3 linked regions of the Zea mays genome follow. The main gene of each other region encodes a partner of the protein of the gene in region 2 in a complex. Links are inferred from orthologs where the notes say so. Each region holds a gene or a part of one and is shown on either strand. Other genes may lie near its edges.

What was found. The genes of interacting proteins can lie anywhere in the genome.
Region 1: mediator of RNA polymerase II transcription subunit 14 (region 2) and Mediator of RNA polymerase II transcription subunit 21 share a complex: the UniProt entries of both Arabidopsis thaliana proteins name them as parts of the mediator complex. The link is inferred for Zea mays from reciprocal best matches to the Arabidopsis thaliana genes SWP and MED21.
Region 3: mediator of RNA polymerase II transcription subunit 14 (region 2) and Mediator of RNA polymerase II transcription subunit 32-like share a complex: the UniProt entries of both Arabidopsis thaliana proteins name them as parts of the mediator complex. The link is inferred for Zea mays from reciprocal best matches to the Arabidopsis thaliana genes SWP and MED32.

The regions. Positions count from the first base shown.
Region 1 is NC_050099.1:37,997,018-38,003,522, reverse strand, and holds Mediator of RNA polymerase II transcription subunit 21, read right to left. Parts: upstream 3,165-6,505; coding exon 2,871-3,164; intron 2,228-2,870; coding exon 2,156-2,227; intron 2,059-2,155; coding exon 2,007-2,058; intron 1,936-2,006; coding exon 1,859-1,935; 3' UTR 1,849-1,858; intron 1,675-1,848; exon of another isoform or gene 1,672-1,674; 3' UTR 1,417-1,671; downstream 1-1,416. Other genes in the region: putative X8 domain containing family protein isoform 1 precursor, read left to right, coding at 606-675, 750-1,022, 1,118-1,143. UniProt on the Arabidopsis thaliana protein: Component of the Mediator complex, a coactivator involved in the regulated transcription of nearly all RNA polymerase II-dependent genes.
Region 2 is NC_050097.1:176,301,959-176,308,463, forward strand, and holds the start of mediator of RNA polymerase II transcription subunit 14, read right to left. Parts: upstream 3,906-6,505; 5' UTR 3,412-3,905; coding exon 3,157-3,411; intron 1-3,156. UniProt on the Arabidopsis thaliana protein: Component of the Mediator complex, a coactivator involved in the regulated transcription of nearly all RNA polymerase II-dependent genes.
Region 3 is NC_050101.1:142,577,494-142,583,851, forward strand, and holds Mediator of RNA polymerase II transcription subunit 32-like, read right to left. Parts: upstream 3,436-6,358; 5' UTR 3,317-3,435; coding exon 2,873-3,316; intron 1,630-2,872; 3' UTR 1,417-1,629; downstream 1-1,416. UniProt on the Arabidopsis thaliana protein: Component of the Mediator complex, a coactivator involved in the regulated transcription of nearly all RNA polymerase II-dependent genes.

The DNA of each region.
Region 1 (6,505 bases), on a different chromosome or scaffold from region 2:
AGTAGAACCCAACAGAAGTGATGTTTCCGCGCTTGTCTTTTTAGATGATCATTTCAAATCACATGTTGTTCTAATGTTGTTTGATGTTTAAATTTTGTTTTAAGTGAAACTTTTCTAGGTTTAACTAAATTGTATAGAAATCATATAAAGGCCTATTGACGTTCTCATGAATTATGATGCAAGGTAAACATTTGACTGGACTGACAAAAGTGCATTCCGTTGCATGTGCGGCAATTCCGTACAGACTGCTGCCGTTCAGCTTCACGTCAACTGATTATTATCCTTTTCATGACCGGATACTGAATGTGGCGGCCCCGGTGTAATGTGGCCATAAAACGCGTTAAAACCAACCGTTTCTAGACACGGCCTTTGTGCTGCTGGCCTGCTGCTGCTTGTTCTTCCTGTTCACCTTCCTCCTCCTCCCTATAAATTTGACTAGAATGCAACCAATCCTTGGTCATGTTCTCTGGCAAACACACACACACACACACACACACACACACACACACACACACACACACACATCGTTTGCTGTTGCAACAAAGCTCTACACGGGAAGACAGGCTGCTTCTTTCTTGCAGTCTCTGGTCCAGAAGCCTGAAGAAATGGCGTCACCCAACGTCACATTCCTTGCCTTCTTCGTGGCCCTCGCACTATCGGCGCTTCACACCGACGGTAAAGGATCCCTCGTCTCTGGCTGCTTTATCCACTAACAATCTGGCACTGAAATCAAATCCCATCTTCTTCAGCAGCAGCGGCGGCGGCAGAAACCTTGCACCATAGGAGCGACACATGGTGCGTGGCCAAGCCGTCGACGCAGGAGGCGGCGCTGCGGGGCAACCTGGAGTTCGCCTGCTCCGAGAGCGACTGCGGCGCCATCCAGGGCACCGGCGGCTGCGCCCAGCCCGACAGCCTGCTGTCGCGGGCGTCGGTGGCCATGAACGCCTACTACCAGGCCCGGGGGAGGAACTCGTGGAACTGCTTCTTCAACGGCACCGGCATAATCACCATCACTGACCCCAGTGAGTGCTTCCTTGCTTGCTGTGAGTGTCTCATTGCCCGTGAACCGTGTTGGGGGAGCTGACACCGGATGATGGATCATTGGATCCTCTTGCAGGCCTTGGCACCTGCAAATATGCTTGACACGACGGGCTGCTCTGCTGCTGCTGTGCTCAACGGACGATGAATAAGGCTGTAGGGGAATGATGCATCTTTTCCTTCTCTTTGTTTTGTTATTGTGTCTGTGTGAGTGAGCAGGGAGTATCCTTGCAGAACCAACCAGTATCATGTCTGAGCACTGTAGAGAGAATTTCCGTGCTTTTATTTCCCAAATACAGTTCTACTCCAGGCCAGTGGCTGGAGGGGAGTTTAGGAACAGGTGTCAAAGGTCTCAGGTACTGAACAAATACCAAAATATAGAAGAAATCCCAGAGGAAGCCAGGTGCCAGATCCATTAAAAAGACCACCACAGTTCAAGCGTCAGTTCATACTAAAAACATTGCACCTTACAACCAAAGGTCAATCCTAATCCGGCAGATCAGAATGCCAGTACACAAAAGCTAAGTGCAATTATTGTTCACTAGTAGAGAATCTGAAAAGACGGAATATAAAGTTCTTACTGGCATTCATCCTCCACACTCCATCCACAGGAACAGTTTCTTTTCAGCAAACCTGCTATGGCAGACATTGGATTTACGTCAACACAATATCTTATGAGCTAGATCGGTTTCCAACACTTGATGCCAAATACATACAAAACCAAGAAGTAACTGTTGGAGCCAAATTAAAAGAGAAATTGACTTTGACAGTGCATTGATAAGTTGTAGGAAGAAATTCATCTCAACTTACATTAACGTAATTAATCTAGCTTCTTAAAATTTATGCAATTGTCTGTTGCTTCATTAAACAGCACCTCAACCTGCTTCAACTCCCTTTCTGTAACGCAATGACATCAGTAATTAGACATATAATAGTAAGAACTCTAGAAACAGTGGGGATCGTGTTACCGGCAGCTTCAAGTTGCTTCTGGAGCTCCAGTCCCACGACTTCATTCTCTGCCTGCAAATTTCAGATTTTCATACAGTTTATTTGGAGTAGGAGTTTGGCAGATGCCCATCCTGTGCTCGATGAATTAATCTGACTGTCTGATATCTACCTGTAGCTCTTGGATTCTTTTCACTTGATCCTCTTCTGATGATAGTGGCACTGCTGCAACAAGTGCATCAAACTGCATAGAAGGCCATAATTGTTCCTCATTTAAGGGGAAAAAGTTGGAACTGCAGCAAGCATAATTTGAACTAAAGTTTGCCAGTCTTTACATTTCAAGTTTTCAACCATGGTTAACACAAAGTGATCTCCCTCACTCCCTCCCTCCCGTATGCATCACTCTACGTCTGTACGCTGTTGTTGGGATAAACATCTTATCTTAGGAAATGGAGCAAGAGATGAAGATTCTACGTCTGTACGCTGTTGTTGGGATAAACATCTTATCTTATGAAATGGAGCAAGAGATGAAGACTCTACGTTATGTACATTGTTGGGATAAACATCTTATCTTATGTAATGGAGCAAGAGATGAAGATTGTTCTGTACACTGTTGGGATAAACATCTTATCTTATGCAATGGAGCAAGATATGAAGACTAGTAAGTGGCAACACGGTTTCATTGTTTGTCTCCACATAACGCGGGCAAGCAAGCAAAAATTAAACAGTTGGTCCTTCACTTATTCGCAGCATCAGACTTACGAGTAAAACTACGAAGCGAGCCGAAACTTTCTACTTAACCACACAAAGATATTTTGGAATCACCGGGCGGGCATTTGGTCCAGAAGATGGGGACACCGAGAAGAGAAGTGGGGCAGGGTACCTACCTTCTTGGCCGCGAGGACGAGGGCGCGGCTCATAGCCTTGGGTTGCTCGGTGAGGTCAGGCGCGGGCGGCTGCGCCTGCGCCTGCGCCTGCGCCGGTGGCGGCGGCGGCGCGCCGGGCTGGGCCTGGACCTGGGGTTTGGAGTCGTCCTCGGGCTTAGGGTTGGGGTTGAGCGGGTCAGGGTAGCTGCTGGAGAGGCGGTCCGGCGGCGCGTCCCTCTGCAGCGTGCCGAAGGTGTTGACGGCCAGCACGGCCATCTCGTCGAGCTGGTCCTGCAGCTGCGTGATGATGTCCATGCCGAATCCCCACCACTCTCTCCCTCTTCTCCTTCCTCCGTCCCAGACTTGCAGGACGGCGGCTTTATTGTAGCAGGCCGATTTCATCCAGGAATGGGTCTGCAGGATCCAGCCCACGTAGCATGGACCAGGCCGGATCTAAAAAATGTATGTGCCGGTATTCAAAAGATGCTCGCTCATATTCCTGGGATACCACCAAGTCTTCCGGTCACCACACATTTGCAGAATGCTGAGCCATCGGCAATTTTACCATTGTCATTTATAGGCTTCATTAATATGACGTCGGACCCTAAATTATAGACACAGATGATTCTATCAGTTATAGATATGGGATAATATAATAAAGTCAAAACTGAGAGTGACAAAATTATAAATTGTTTGGCACCAAAAGGAGCGCGGACGGAGGCCGGACAGTCCGCGGTCCGGACAGTCCGCGCCTGTGGGCCGGACGGTCCGTGCGTGCGCAGAGTAAATTAGGGTTCCGAGTTTTGTGCTATGTTTGTTAGCTAAAATCGCGGGAAAAGCTCGGAAATTAGTTTGTAAAGGGTCCAGCCCCCTCCTCTATAAATAGAGAGGTATACGGCCGATTTGTAATCATCAATCGAATCAATACAACTTATATTTCACATTTATTTCCTGTACAATTAGGAGTAGTTCTAGTCTAGTTCTAGTTTAGCCTCTCGATCCCCAAATCTTCCGCCTCTCCTCGACTCTACGTCGATTAGAGAAGTCTAGGTCAGTCTACCCGAGCCTAGACACCACCTAGGATCTCTCCTCCCCGACGGGGTCCCTCCCGGGAGCGAGATCCAGGCGCCGCCGGCGATCTCCCGCCGCCCCTGCGCACGCGCGGACCGTCCGGCCCTAGGGCGCGGACCATCCGGCCGTCAGGCAGGGAACCTTAGCTCCTGCGCCAGGTCGCGGACCGTCCGGCCCTGTGTCGCGGACCGTCCGCGCCTGACCAGAGAGCACCACCGCCTCGCGCCAAGTCGCGGACCGTCCGGTCCTGTGCCGCGGACCGTCCGCGCCTGACCAGAGAGCACCGCCGCTGGTTTTTTTAAGTGATTGGCGCCTCCAAAAAGGTGTCAACATACTTTTTGGCGACTCCGCTGGGGACACAAATATAGACGCATCAAATCGGCCCTCAATGGCCGGTTCAAGAGATAGCTCTAATATTTCCCCAAGCAACATCATAGAGCCGACTTAGGAGACCTTGCCGGCTGACGAACAGCTCCAGTTCGAGGAGCACAAGGAGCAGATGATCCAGGAGGCAAAAGCGAGGTTCTTGGCCAACTTCAAAGTGGACAGGAACAACAAAGTCGTCCGACATCGGGCGACAGATCCGGCTTCACTGCGACCCACGCCAGACATCCCCAATGTAAGTAATACAAACGAGCTGTAATCTCTTAAGAATTATGTAGATGAACAGCGTGAACAAATGCAAAATATCATAGGGGATATGCAAAACGACTATAGGAGATTAGCGCGTGCATTTGACAAATCTAGCATTGCAAATTTTCCATCACACGAGGTAGAATTAGGGGGTAACACGCGTAATACATCGGTTGTAGATTGTCACGACCAGTCACAACCCCTTTATGGGATGCCGATAGACACGTACCCTGAGCAACCGCAAATCGGCAGCAAAACAGCCGATCTGCACATGTCCGGACCGTCCGCACGTGAGCGCGGACCGTCCGGGCCAGCCACGGCCGAACCCATTTTTAATGAAGTACCCAGACACGCACCCGAGCCACCACATATGACACAGAACCCAAACTACCTAGTCGGACGATCCGCATACAACGACGGACGGTCCGCATATAACCACGGACGGTCCGGGTACGTATCCGGACAGTCCGCGCATGAGTCTTTTGAGGAGGATTATTACCTGAATCCTCGCCCATCCCAGCAACACTTCCCATCGCACTATGCAATGCATCAACACATTAATTCGAGATCTAGAGGCCAGGAAAACTTTCCGGTCCCACCTAGAAGGCCGAAAAGGAACGATCAAACATATGAACCATATAGGGCAAGTGGCAATGCACCACGTAGCTCAAACCAATGGAGAGAAAGACAACATACTAACATACAACCAACCCCACCTATGTTTGACCAGAGAGCCGGTGGTCTTGCACCGGCTGCCATTGATATAGTAAGGGAAGAAATAGCCGGGGCGTTCCGAGATAAGCTCGGAGTAAGCATGGTCCCTGAGGGGCAATCATATCGGAGACCTTATGACAGCCGATTTGATCACCACCCATACCCACAGGGAACCAGGATACCCGAATTCGCAAAATTTTCGGGTGATCAAGGAAAGAACACGTGAACACATAGGCCAGTTTTTAGCACAATTAGGAGAATTGGCTGACACGGAGGCATTTCGCGTACGTTTGTTTTCATTATCTCTAACAGGAACCGCGTTTGCATGGTATGCCACTTTACCTCCTAATTCTATTTCATCATGGGGGGATCTAGAACAAAAATTTCATGACCATTTTTTCTCCGGTGACTACGAGTTGGATTTGGTAGATTTAGTGTCATTGCGACAGACAAAAGATGAATCGGTTAATGATTACATCCGGAGATTCCGAGATACAAGAAACCGATGCTTCCAAATTCATTTAGCAGAAAAACAGCTAGCAGGATTAGCCTTTAATGGTCTATGAAAGTCGCCTAGAGGGGGGGTGAATAGGGCGAAACTGAAATTTACAAAATTAATCACAACTACAAGCCGGGTTAGCGTTAGAAATAATAATGAGTCCGAGAGAGAGGGCACAAAACAAATCGCAAGCGAATGAAGAGTGTGACACGTGGATTTGTTTTACCGAGGTTCGGTTCTCGCAAACCTACTCCCCGTTGAGGAGGCCATAAAGGTCGGGTCTCTTTCAACCCTTACCCTCTCTCAAACGGTCCCACGGACCGAGTGAGCTTCTCTTCTCAAATCAAACCGGGAACAAAGCTTCCCCGCAAGGACCACCACACAATTGGTGTCTCTTGCCACGATTACAAGTGAGCTTTGATCACAAGAACAAGTGAGAAAGAAAGAAGCAATCCAAGCGCAAGAGCTCAAAAGAACACAACAAATCTCTCTCGCTAATCACTAAAGCCTTGTGTGGAATTGGAGAGGATTTGATCACTTGAGTGTGTCTAGAATTGAATGCCTAGCTCTTGTAAGTGGTTGAGAAGTGGAAAACTTGTATGACTTGAATGTGGGGTGGTTGGGGGTATTTATAGCCCCAACCACCAAACTAGCCGTTTGGTGGAGACTGACAGTCGTATGGTGCACCGGACAGTCCGGTGCACACCGGACATGTCCGGTGCGCCAGCCACGTCACCCG
Region 2 (6,505 bases):
GATATCAAAGCCGGTATAAGTGTTAATATATTAATAGAGGCTGTAAAACTAACTTGACTGCATCCCATACTTCATATAGAAAGGGCAAAGAGTGAATGATCTACAACCCAACTTTAGCAAAAATTGACAGATGGAATAGTGTCAGACAAAATCCCTGCACAAAATGTCCGTGATAGCAATTGACATTACAGAGGCAGAGTCTCCACTTGTGGCCTGGAGGTACTGGATTTGAAACCACTGTTATTAAAGCGTCGTTTAAACGACGTTTAAGCGTCGTTTAAGCGGTAGAACGTGATTAGAATCCAAAACGTCCACACGTTTTAATAAAATGGTGTTGGACGTCCGTTTTGGACGTTTAAGCATCGTGTAAACGTCGTGAACGCGCGTTTTGGACGTTTTAAGCGTTCTACGGACGTTCTATGTGTTAGTGGGCCTTAATGGGCCTTTAGTCACTCCCAGACGCGTTCCAGGCTTCCAGCCGCAACACGCGCCCTCAGCCGCCAGCCGCAGAACGTGCGGAGCTCTCCCTGCCGCGCCTGCTACCGCTGTCGGCCGTCCTCAGCCGCCCTCCAGGTACGTCGCCGGCCCCCCTCCTCCCTCCCCCCTCTTCCCTCCACCCACAGGGCAGTGCGCCGCCGCAAGTGTGGCTGCCCAGTGCTCCAGCCGCCGCCGCTCCATTGCTTCAGCCCATTGCTCCAGCCCATTGCTACCTCTGCGCCAGCCGCCAGTGCCCATTGCTTCACAGACCAGCAGCTGAGGGACTAGCCTGTAACCTTTGCGCCAGCCACCAGTGCCTCACCTCTGCGCCAACCGCTCTGCATCACCTCTGCGCCAACTGCCAGTGCCCATTTGCACTTGTAGATGCATACCAAAAAGAGGAATAGGTTAGAGCACAAAAGGTTGAATGACTTGGTATATGTTTCATACAACAGAAAGATGGCTGATAGGTTTCAAAAAATACATGAGGAAGGAAAAAACTTTGATCCTTTGATTTTAGAAGACTTTGATTGGGACAATGAATGGGTTGATCCATTAGCTAATTCTTCTCATGTTAGCAATGCTTTTGGAGATGATTTCAATTTATCATGGGACCAAGTTGATGAAGCTATTGGTGCATCTGCACATCTCAGAGGTCGTAATTTTCCTAGGAGAGCTGGTGGTGGGTGTGTGAGAAGGAATGAAGACCTTGAGGAAGAGGAGACTAATTTAGCAAATGAAGATGATGAGGAATATATTCTTGATGATCTTGATGTGGAAGATGAAATTGAAGGAAGCAATAGTGGAAAAGATGGTGACGATCAAGGCGCTATGCTCATGGTCTTAATATCGATGAGTTCGATGATGGTTACTAATCATGCATAAAAGTTGTAACTTGTGTGGTTGAACTTGTGTTGTTGAACTTGATATGTTTCTTTTTATGCTAATGCTATTTGGTTTGTGAACTCAACTTATGTATGAACTTATTCTATATTTGAAATTCTATGTCAAGTCTGAAAAGACGTTTCAACGTTCGTTTAAACGTTTAAACGTTGAAAAGTTGGTTCATAACGTTTTAACGTTTTACCGCTTTAATAACCATGTTTGAAACAGCCTCCTTGCATAATTATGCGAGGGTGAGGCTGTTGAGAATCCCCTTCTCCAGAACCCACATTGTGTTCAGCTTTCAGCACTAGGTACACAGCTGACAGCCTGACATAACAACAAAATTAAGGTACAGTGGGGCATATTTAAAGGAATCCATTGGCTCAGTGGAATGATGTAAAATGCCATTAAATCAACCTCAGTACTTCTGGATCCGTTGAGGAAGTGCTCTTTGGACTAGTTCAGTGCTATATCTAAGCTTGGTTGGGACAAAGGAAATCTTAAACTTTTCATTGTCCTTGTCAACTTATTTTTTACTAGACAGTCTCATTTTTCTGTCCTACGTTTAATTACATTTGTAGCACAGAAATTATATGTCAAGTTGTCAATTAAATTTAAAAGAAAAGGATTTTATGGATGTGAACCAGATAATGAGCAATCTAATAAAAATCAGAATACTTCATCTTGATTTTGTTACAAAACAAAAGTGGCTTGCACGATTGCACTAGGATTAGCTTGCACCAAATATATGCTAGAAACAAATATTTATGACAGCATAACAACCACATTACCACAGTTCAAACCATATAGTGAAATATTACAATTTGAAATGGAAGCAATATAAATCAATGAGACTCCCGTGATAAAAAAAAACTCGGCCGGGGAGGGAAAGACCGCCCTCCCGGTATTATATTAAGAAGAGACCGAAACAATGGTCCCGGCCGAGAAAATCCCCGAACCCTGGCCCCCAATCACTAACGGGCCGGCGTCAACTGTCCACTCTGCAACGGCCCAACCGGAGGGTGGCGCACAGGACATCGTAACCCAAAAGCGGATGGGACACAGCGAGGGGATTTTTTTAACCAAGCCTGAAAATTCGCTCCCGGGGGGAAATCGAACCCAGGACTTGGAGGTGCTACTCGGAAGTCCTTAACCACTAGGCTAGAGGCCCTTTCGCGACTCCCGTGATATATAATGCATTTTCAATGGTTTAATAGTTTAATTATTAAATTATATTTGTTGATTTTACATTCCCCTGATCTATGTGTGCATGGTGGTTCGCAGTTCGCACTATTTCAAGTACATTGTAAAACGGTCTTATTTCACTCGTCGTTTATGCTAGAGCACACCATGACAGCACCAGAAAAATAATATAAGTTTCTAGTGCGAAACAAATTGAGCTTTTTCATAATACCACTGCACCAAAACAAAATAAACAAATCAATGAGTATGCCAAGATTGAACTGGATTACATTTTGTCCACCAAACAATCATTTGTGTCCTACTAGGAACTGGAGTACAGACCCTACAAAATTAGGGGCAAAAATGCTGGCACAATTCATCAACAATCACCAATCTTCACTATCCCACTACACTGCAATAAGACAACAACTATGAATATCCTTCTTTACATGCCACTCGAGCTAGATAGGTGAGACAATGCCACTAAACCAAACTAAAACAGGATATTAGGCACTCACACCAGTCAGATTGAATTCTTAGCATACCTCAGCAGAATTATGACAAGGAGACAGACAAGCAAGAGAAATAGCAAAGACTGAAATTAGGCATCACCTGCTGACACCACTTGGCAAGGACGTGGAGACGAAGCATGCGCTGGCGTGTGCGTGTGATGAACTTGAGCAAGTCAATCTTCTTCTCGGTGTCGGACCGCTGCCAGCTGCCATTGGCTCCGGCGCCGATGCCCTTCCCCTCGGCCTCCGCCTGCGACTTCTCCACGAGCTCCCGCAGAGCGAGATAAGACTCCTCCGCCGCACGCCGCACCACCGCGCCCAGCTCCACCGTCTGCTGCCCCAGCTCCCCTGCCATCCCCGCACGCACGCCCGTCCCGAACAGCTAGGGTTTCAGCGCCCACCACCTACACATTCTCCAGTTCCTTCTCCTAATTAACTCCGCAAAGCGCCGGAGACGAAACTCTAGCCCTGTATCGCCAACGTGCGCACGCGTGGGCCGGGAGGAATCTCGCAGGATTCGCCGCGCCTCCCCGTGAATAGTGGTGGAAGAGGGAGTGGAACTGAAATTGGAAACCACTCAGTCAAGGGTAAGGCTCAGGGAGGGGACCGAGGGTGGCCGCGAGAGAGGGTGAAAAGGAGAGAGATGGTGGAAGCGAGAGACGGAGGTCGGCGGCGGCGAAGCGGCGGCGTGGGTACGGCCTCCTCTCTCTCTCTCTCTCGCTTCTGCGATCGATGAGTTCAGGACCGGCGGAGGGTGCGAGTGCGCCCTAGTCGACGGGCCCACGCGGAACCGGAGGCCTGGGCTAGTAGCCTAAGGGCATGTACAATGAGTATCTTAAGTTGTGTCTTAGAGTGTGTCTAGGGGGGTGAATGTAAAAAAACTCAAGACATGTATCTTGACGAAGACACAGTGTCTTAGCTCTATGTTCGAGACAGGAGGCTAGCTGATTGGTCACTTTAATTTATTGAATGCTCTGATTGGTACAATGAATATGGTAAGACACACGTTTTAGACACGACCACTGTATTGTGTTGTGTTTTAGCTGTGTCTTATACTTGAAGTACCGTGCAGTCGTATCTGGGTTGTACATGCCCTAAGGGCATGTACAGTGGAGAGACACCAAAACGGTTCTCTAAGCACAGGAGACAACTAAGAGACTCTATTGTACAATGGAGTGTCTCTAAACGTAGTCGGTTAATAAATACAGAATTAAATGTATTTGTATAGCATCAGATCGATAGAACAGACGACAAATTCGTACAGTGGGAAGTGAGGCGTTTGTTGTTACTTGGTTTACGAGCCAGAGGCGTCTCTTCACGGAGAGACGGCTCTAAGATTTTTTTGCAAATAACCCCCTAAAACACCTTAAGAGCCCCCATATTAAACACCACTGTACATGCCCTAAGAAATACAGAGGTTATTGCCGAGGAGGTGACTGTCTTTGGAGCATTAATGCAATAATTGAAAGGTATGATTCACCGACTATATTTGTATGTTATGTATATCAAAAACTTTACATTTATTTATCTATTTACGTTATTGCCTTTATAGTGATGTTTGTTGTTATTTTTATAGATGATTATGCTAAATGATATCACATTTGTACATCTAATAGACGGAGGAGGACTAGCACTCTAACAAGTGTTTGGGTAGCTTTAAAAGCTCTTCCTATCCTTGTGAAGAAACCACACATTGGTGCTAAGGAATTACAAAGTTCACTTCAAGATACCTACAAATGCATAATTGCTCATGACACAGTTTGATATGGAAAAGAGAAAGCCTTGAAAGTGTTGTTTGTAACTTGAGAAGAGAGCTTCCAACTATTGTGCTCTTGGAAGGAGGTAGTGTTGCATAAGTCACCTTATAGTGTCATTTGTTGAATTAATGTGGGTCTGGCCCATATTAATATTCAATAATAGTCAATGCTAAAGGCCCATTTTAATGCTACGGTGTACTAGTACTTTAGTATAATACCAGAAGTTTAAGGGACAATTCAATCAACTTAAATAGGTGGTCCGTTGGTGCATCTATTGAGAAGCTGAGAAAAGGATGAAGGACTGCCACACGTGCGCGCGCCGCCGACCGGGCAGGACCGTGGCCGTGGCTAGGGCTGGGAAAAAAGCTCGAACTCGACGAGTGTTTGGCACTTGTTCTCAAAAGCTTTGAATCAAGAACAAGGCAACACAAATGTTAATGGTTATAGACCTTTGTCCTTCATCACATTATCTCCCTTAGGATATAATGATCTTCGGACGAAGGTTACGAAGGACATACCTTCTTCATTGCAATATACAGAGATATAAACACGATCGTAAGAAACATAGAGAAAGTATGAATAATCATTTTAGAAAGAGTGATGTGCAAGTGATTATAAGTCAGCGTGAACAATACATGGGTACTGTTCATCTATTTATAGGCACAGGACGCAGCTCGGACAAAATTACATTTGTATCCTTCATAGTTATAACCATGACACAAATTATCAGGGACTAAGCGATCTTTTCCTCTCTAAGTCGGTGCTGCCCTTCGTCTCAAGCGTGTCATCATGCCGAAGCTCTTTCAACTGTAGCTTCGGCATATATCTTCATGTTGTGCCTGCTTGCATATCACCTTGCTGAAGGTGTTTTTGCTTAGGGGACCTTCGGCGAAGAAGAAGGCCCCCAACAATAGCCCCTTCGCGGTGTAGATCGTTTTTCGTAATGAGCTCGATCCGCGAAAAAACTCGAAGGCTTCGGAATGCCGAAGGTCCGAAAAACACCTTCCCTGAGCTCGTTGCCGAGAAACGATTATAATATTCCAGGCGTCGAGCGGTCCACCATTCAGCGAGCGCAGGCAGCCTGGCGGTTTGCCTTCCCCCTGCAGCACTATATAAACAGACGGGTTGGTGAAGAGTTACCAAAACATTCATTGTCATTGCACTTCATCGTTTTAAGGTTAACTTCGTCAGACGGGTTAGCTTCGTCAAACTGTAAAAATCTATCAAAATGGCCAGAGTGCAATCAACTGCAAGGGTGTCTCGTGAGAGAGACAAAACCGAAGCTACTGAAACGACACCAATTTCAGAAGTAATGGAACGATCAGGTCTAGTTGTGACAGAGGGAGTTGTTGACGAAGGTGCTCCTGATGCCAAAGCTGAACAAACTGTTGCTGAAGAAGAAAATGCTGATGAGAGTGAAGAAGATTATAGTATTTTGATCCCAACAAAGCCCAGTCAACTTGAATTTGAAAAATCTACCGTGACGGAGGATGACATGCCGATGATGATGAAATTGGGTTATTTTGGTGAAGCTGAAAGCAAACTTGTCCGATTTGCTGTAGAAGAGACTACCCCAGAGCCGAAGAATGATGAAGTAGTGGTTTTCAAGAGCTTCTTCAGAGCGGGGCTTCGGTTTCCCCTGAATGAGATGATTGGGGTAGTCCTAAAGAACTTCGAAATATATCTTCATCA
Region 3 (6,358 bases), on a different chromosome or scaffold from region 2:
TCAAGTCGTCAACTTAACTTGAGTGCTCACATTTTCCTAGATTTAATTCAGATTTGAAGGTTTCATTAAGAACAGCAAAGGCTCTAGAGGTACTCAGACCAAAGTTAACATATATAATTTGGCAAAAATATTTGAACTGAATGGAATTCATACTTTTAATAATATGGATCGATACAATTTACTCCCTCCGTCCTAAAATAGAAGTAGTCATTATGTCATGGCAATTTATAGGTTAATAGCCAGTCGTGTTTTGCTACGGTTGTTATATATCATATAAATAAGTATTGAGATATTTATTTAAATATAATTATTGTTTATTTCCGTGTTTTGCTACGATTGTTGTATATCATATAAATAAGTATTGAGATATTTATTCAAATATAATTATTGTTTATTTCTAAACATTAAGGTAAGTGTGGTTTGATTGTTAGCCCTGAATTTCCGAAGCAAGGAAGTGTGGGTTCGAGTGCTCGGTTTGCACTATTTTTTGCACGGTGTGGTAGCTGCACGGGCGGGGTCAAGTACTGGGTAGGCACATTAGCTGCGCGGCATGCGTGGGGCGGACCCAGAGTGTCAGCGCGGAGGAGTGAAGTCATGGTAACAACAGGTGCCCACATTAAGTTCTTAATAGAGTATTATATATTTCATGGCATTTATTTCAATTTAACTTTGCTATGACTGGATATGCAGAGGCATGTCTCTTTTGTAACAAGAGAAAAATGCAATAGTGCTTACAGGACTATGCTAGAGAGATGTAAGTAGGTTCTAATCTCAAGAACTGATTTAAGAGTTTGTGTTCCCTGATTTTGTGTGCACAGCAGCACAAGGCCTGCAAATGTAGATTTAAGATCTCGTACACCAAGTATAACTTAACTATGCTCTTAGGTTATTAGTTTATTGTGTTTAAAGTTCAGAAGTTCCAGGTCTTAATATATTCTTAAATTAATCGACCAGATACTCAGATCCTTTTCTCACATGATACGGAGTAGTATCATTCAGCATGTTACATTTATCAAAGTCCGGTATACTTATGGAGCTAATATTTTATCTAGCTCTATTTTCTGAATTTGGCATTGGTTACAACCTTTAAAGTTTCTGTACAGATTATCTCATTTCAGCTCTATTTTTTAGGTACACTGCTTATATTGAGTCAGTGGCCAAATTTTAACAATCAGTTGTGGTCTTAATCCATGTTACTGTTGTTGGTATGATAATGCACTTTGCTCACCATATCATCTATGTTTTTGGTATGATAATGCGTTAACGCGTCTTAATCCATGTTGGATGTAAACGCATGTTTTTTCTGCTAATGCTTCCTCTGTCCCAAATTATAAAACATTTTGGCATTTCTAGGTTCATAGCTTTTGCGTATCTATACATAATATATTTCTAGGTGTGTAGCAAAAACTATTGATCTAGAAAAGCCAAAAAATCTTATAATTAGAAATGGAGGGAGTAGTTCATAGTCCTCAGCCAATTCTCTTGAGTGCAGCCATCAAATTGTGAAATTGTACTTTGTCTACAGATCCTATAATATCGATACAAACAGATTATGACATCTCCACATTTCTGCTTACTTCCAATAGTTTATCAGCATACTGTCATGTAGCATAGTCAAATCTTTTTTTTCTGCACATAATAGATTAACATACATTTGAGATACAGTGATGGGCATATCTGGTTTCTTGGTAACCATCTTACTAAATTACTGTTCAATTCAGTTCGTGCTTTTGTGAAAATGACTAGTGAATATACTCTGAGAACAATGAAAACCAGTACTGCTTTGTTAACTCAAATATCATGAATCTGTAGGGACCATAGCAGTGGTGAATAAAACTTTGGATCTATAGAACGATAAAGGAACTAAGGTGCTGTTTGGTTTATATGTTTGTAATGTAATAGGTAACAAATAACGTTAAATCATGTTTGTTTAAGTCCAACTGTAATTGGATACCACACTACAAATTGATACCAGCCTATTCAAACTTGTTACCCCTGGTAATCGAATGCAAATCATTACCGTTACCATTTACGTTACATTTTAGGAACCAAACGGCACCTAATTTAAGTCGTGAGTTCGAAGCTCATCCCTTTCCTAGACCCCACTCGTGTGAGAGCCTCCAGCACTGGATCAGCCCTTTTTTAGTTTTTTTGTCTATCTCAAACCAGGGATCCCAAGTTCCCAACCTTATCTCTTCACTCAACAAAAGAGTTGACTCAAAATCAAAAACTGCAACAACCAATCCCCATACACTGGCTGGTCCAAACAGGTACAGACTTAAAACTGGCGCAGCATTATACCCCCAGGTTTTTTTTTTCTGGTCATCATGTAATTAGATCTATATACCTCTCATGCTTTGTCACGACACTATAATTTTTTTTTATGGAGAGCAGCATTTTAGCAATCTGTGTAAAGATTGGGCAATAACCAATGGGCATAAAGACATTAATGCTGAGTAGTAGTATATCTCAAAATGGAAAGGTAAAAACAACAGCCAGCAAATCGCAATGATTTAGGTGCTGTTTGGTTCAAAAAATGTAACGCAAATGGTAATGGTAATAGTTTACGCTCGATTACTGGCGGTAACAAATTTGAATAGGCTGGTATCAAATTTTAGTACGGTATCTGATTACGGTTGGACTATAACAAACATGATTTAACGTTATCCATTACCCATTACGTTACAAATATATGAACCAAACGGCACCTTAGTTCATGTTCTTGCAAATATCAACACGCAAGGTTAATGCTGTCACTCATAGAAACACAGCAACGACAAGTTCTTTGTTTTCTATTGAAGGAAAAATGCTACAATTTTCATATGAGAAGGGCGATGCTACTAGTTTAATTCAGTAACTCCATAGTCCATACCTACTGGGCACCCTCCTCCGGGTGTTGCCCTCCAGCGCCGGCATTTGGGGTAGCGGCACCGCCACTGCCGCCGGTCCCTTGAGCAGAGGCGCCGTGCTGGAGCTCGATGACGAGCCATCGGACGGCCTTGCTCATCTGCTCGAGGCGGACGGCGCTGATGGGCTTGATGCCGGGGGCGGCAACGGATCCGGCGGAGGCGGACCCCGTGGCCTCGTCGACGAGGCACTCGGAGCCGATGCGCTGGCGGATGGACTCGACGAGCTCTTCGGCGTGGTCGCAGGCGACGCGGAAGATCTCCCAGCGCTGCTTGAAGGCCTCGAGCGCGGCGTCCGTGGCCGCCGTCTTCTTCTCGCCGCCCGACTGTACGCGGGCCTCCACCACAGCCGCCGCCGCCGCCATGAAGTCGTCGTACGCCGCGCTCAGGTGGTCCACAGTCGCCTCCATCCCTCCCTCACCCCCAGCTTCTGACGATCCAATTCGGCCTCAGCCCCCAATTCGACACGACGACCCCGAAACCGAAAGCAAAGCGTGAAAACAGGAAATGCCGAAATGGCCCAATCGATATCGGGTCGAGATCAGGATGGGCCTTTTTATTCGACATACGCATCTGGACCAGGGCTAGAGATTGTAGGCATGGATTTTTTTCTAAAAAAATAATATTGTTTTCCCAGACCGTATAGTAAATAAATTCTAAAAATTACATTATTGGACGCGTGTTGTTGGGAAGCTCGCGATCAATCGTGCGGACAGAACGTAGGAAGTGGCGGATCCAGAGCTACTATACGTGGTCTTTTTTTTACAAGACTCTCGTTTATCCTAATTGTTTTAGAATTAGAATCATCTTTCTTCTGGTTCTTGATGAAAAATTTATCCATCCTATTCTTATAAGCATGGGATTACTACCAAATAAATAATCAAATCAAAATTTCAAATCAAACTTAAAGCAAACAATAGCACATGTTTCACCTTCACTGCTTGTCTGCTTCACAGATCACAGCTTCACCTTCGTTGCTTCTGCTTCGCAGTTCGCATGGGACGTCCTATTCCTGCATGATCTGTCACAGATTAGCAGAAACTCTCTTGGCCTCCTATTCCTTCATCGTCCCAAACTCCCAACAGAACAAGGAACCCCCAACAGAAAGCTTGGAGGGGCATTGGCACACGCCGCACACCGCGCATGGCATTATGGCAAGGCCATACATCACTGGCTGTCTGGCTCATCACTCCAATGCAAGAACAAGCTAATAGCTAAGCACACTTTCTTCTCAGCGCGTGTGTACAAACCTGAGCTCCACGAATTAGCAGAAGGAGGGAGCGCGGAGTGGCGGCTGGACAGCGGCGTGGTCAAGGCGGTGCTCCGGGCGGGGCTAGCGGCGGTGTTCCGGCGGTCCGGCCTCCGGGCGAGCGACGCTGCGGGTTGCAGCGGTGCTCCGGGCGTCGGGGCGTGGGCGGTTGGAGGCCTGAAGCTCGTGGGTAGAGGGAGGAGGAGCGACCTACGACTGGGAGGCTGTTCACGCGGTCGCGCGGCTGGAGCTGATGGGCTTATTCGCTGATTTTTGGGCCGCGACCGGGCTGCAGCCCAGGCAGCCCCAGCCTCGGTTGGAGATCCGCCACTGAATGTAGGAAGAGCTGAGTGGTGTGTTGGCTTACTGCTACGATTGTCCCTATTGATTGTGACTCTGATTAGATAGTTCTAGACATGTCATCTGGCTTGACATGTAACCAAATGGGTGTGTTATTATCAGTGAATCACTCTATTAATACACAATACGTAGTATATTAAACGTTACCGTACATTGAAAGCAATTGTTGGGGGTAAGCCTTTGCAGGAGGTCCTTAATTAAAATCAACTAATCTTAACCACTTTATCATTTATTCCGAGAGCAACCAATTCATGTTTGCCGAAGGTCGCTAATGCAGGTTAAAAGAGGAACAGAAGAAGCTTTGGCTTAAGCGTGCAGATAAAGCATGTCGCCAAACTCGAAGCGAATGACAAGAAAACGAACAAAGGACTCACCGATGTGTGCACCAAGGCTTTGGAAGACAAAAACGATGATTCCCCAGGCAAATTTTGTGGTTACTTGTATATGGTTTGAGAGCATGATTATAACTTCATATGAAGTTGTACATCGAATCGTCACTATAAATATAGACACAATGTCATACACAGGACACGTTGCCGGATCGAAATCGCTCCGCCTTCAAAGCTTTATTACTTTTCTACCTTCGAACTGTTGTCTTAAGCTCTCGAAGGTATTATTGTAATCATTTGTAATTAAGTAGAAATAAGAAAAGAAGTGTATTAGTAATGTCTGACATCAATCATCTTTACTTATTTTACTTCTCTTAAACCTATTATAATGGTGGTCTTATTCGTTCGATATATCCTTTATCAAGGGATAAATCGAAGGAACGAAGATCCGGTTTGATGAGGACATGAACACCAACTACATGATCAAGACAATCAATGATAGGGTTCTAAGCTAAAGTGGAGTTGAAATCCAATTTATTCGCAAGTCTGGTTTGGGGTGCAGGAGTAGCCCTCACAAAAATAGACGCTCGAGTCACACACGGACTCTGTTTTGGACGTTCTAAATATCATTGGAAAGCTAAAGAGACAATCTTCCCAACCCAACTAGTTCCACGTCAAAATACGCTCGGATTCAATAAGAATCATCATAACAAGATAATGTCCAGAATCTGCCAGAAATCAGCGATGACTATTTTTGGGTCTTAAGGCCTTATACGTCTTAGGGTTGCTCGACCATCCCATTGTTCTCCGCCTTAGTTGTCTTTCTTATGTATATATTCAGTAGTATCTATTAGATTAGATGTGTTTTTGCTTAGATTATTCTGTTGTATACAGTTTCGCCACCTCATCAGTTTGTGGAATCGACCCGGTAAGCAATCGACGTTGAATCATTGCTGAAGGCGGTGATGGCCCATGTTGAGGAGCAGGGCACAGAGCTCGCACGGGAGCGCAAGTCGTCCGGAGGTGAGCTCTCTAGTTGTGTTGGATGTCTTTCCCTCTGGGCTGCTCTTGTGTTCCTCCCTCGCAGAGCTTCAAAAAAATATTTTTCGAGGCTCGCAGCGCCCAGAAGGCGGCCGAGGACGGAAAAAGGGCGACGGAGTATGGGGCGCACAAGCTCGCGGTTGCCAGCGATGGCGCTGTCGTCACATGAGTCCTAGTGGAGGACTCCCTCTCGGAGTGGAGCACGGAGGCCGGAGCTCTAGGCTCTTCAGCTGGCTGCAACGAAGGTGTGCACGCGACTATGCCCTCCTGTGTCGCCTTCGGTTCCGTTCATGCATGGATCGGCTGGAGGCGCTGTCTGGCCACATGGAGCGCGTCGTTACCCAAGGCGCATTATTCTTGGGGAGCAGCATGGCCCTTGGGCCAATGGTCTCTCATTTTGATGAGATTGACCCTACCGTAATTGCTGAGGGCTTTGCTACTGGCCGCAGCTAAGGGGAGCTAGACGAGATTAA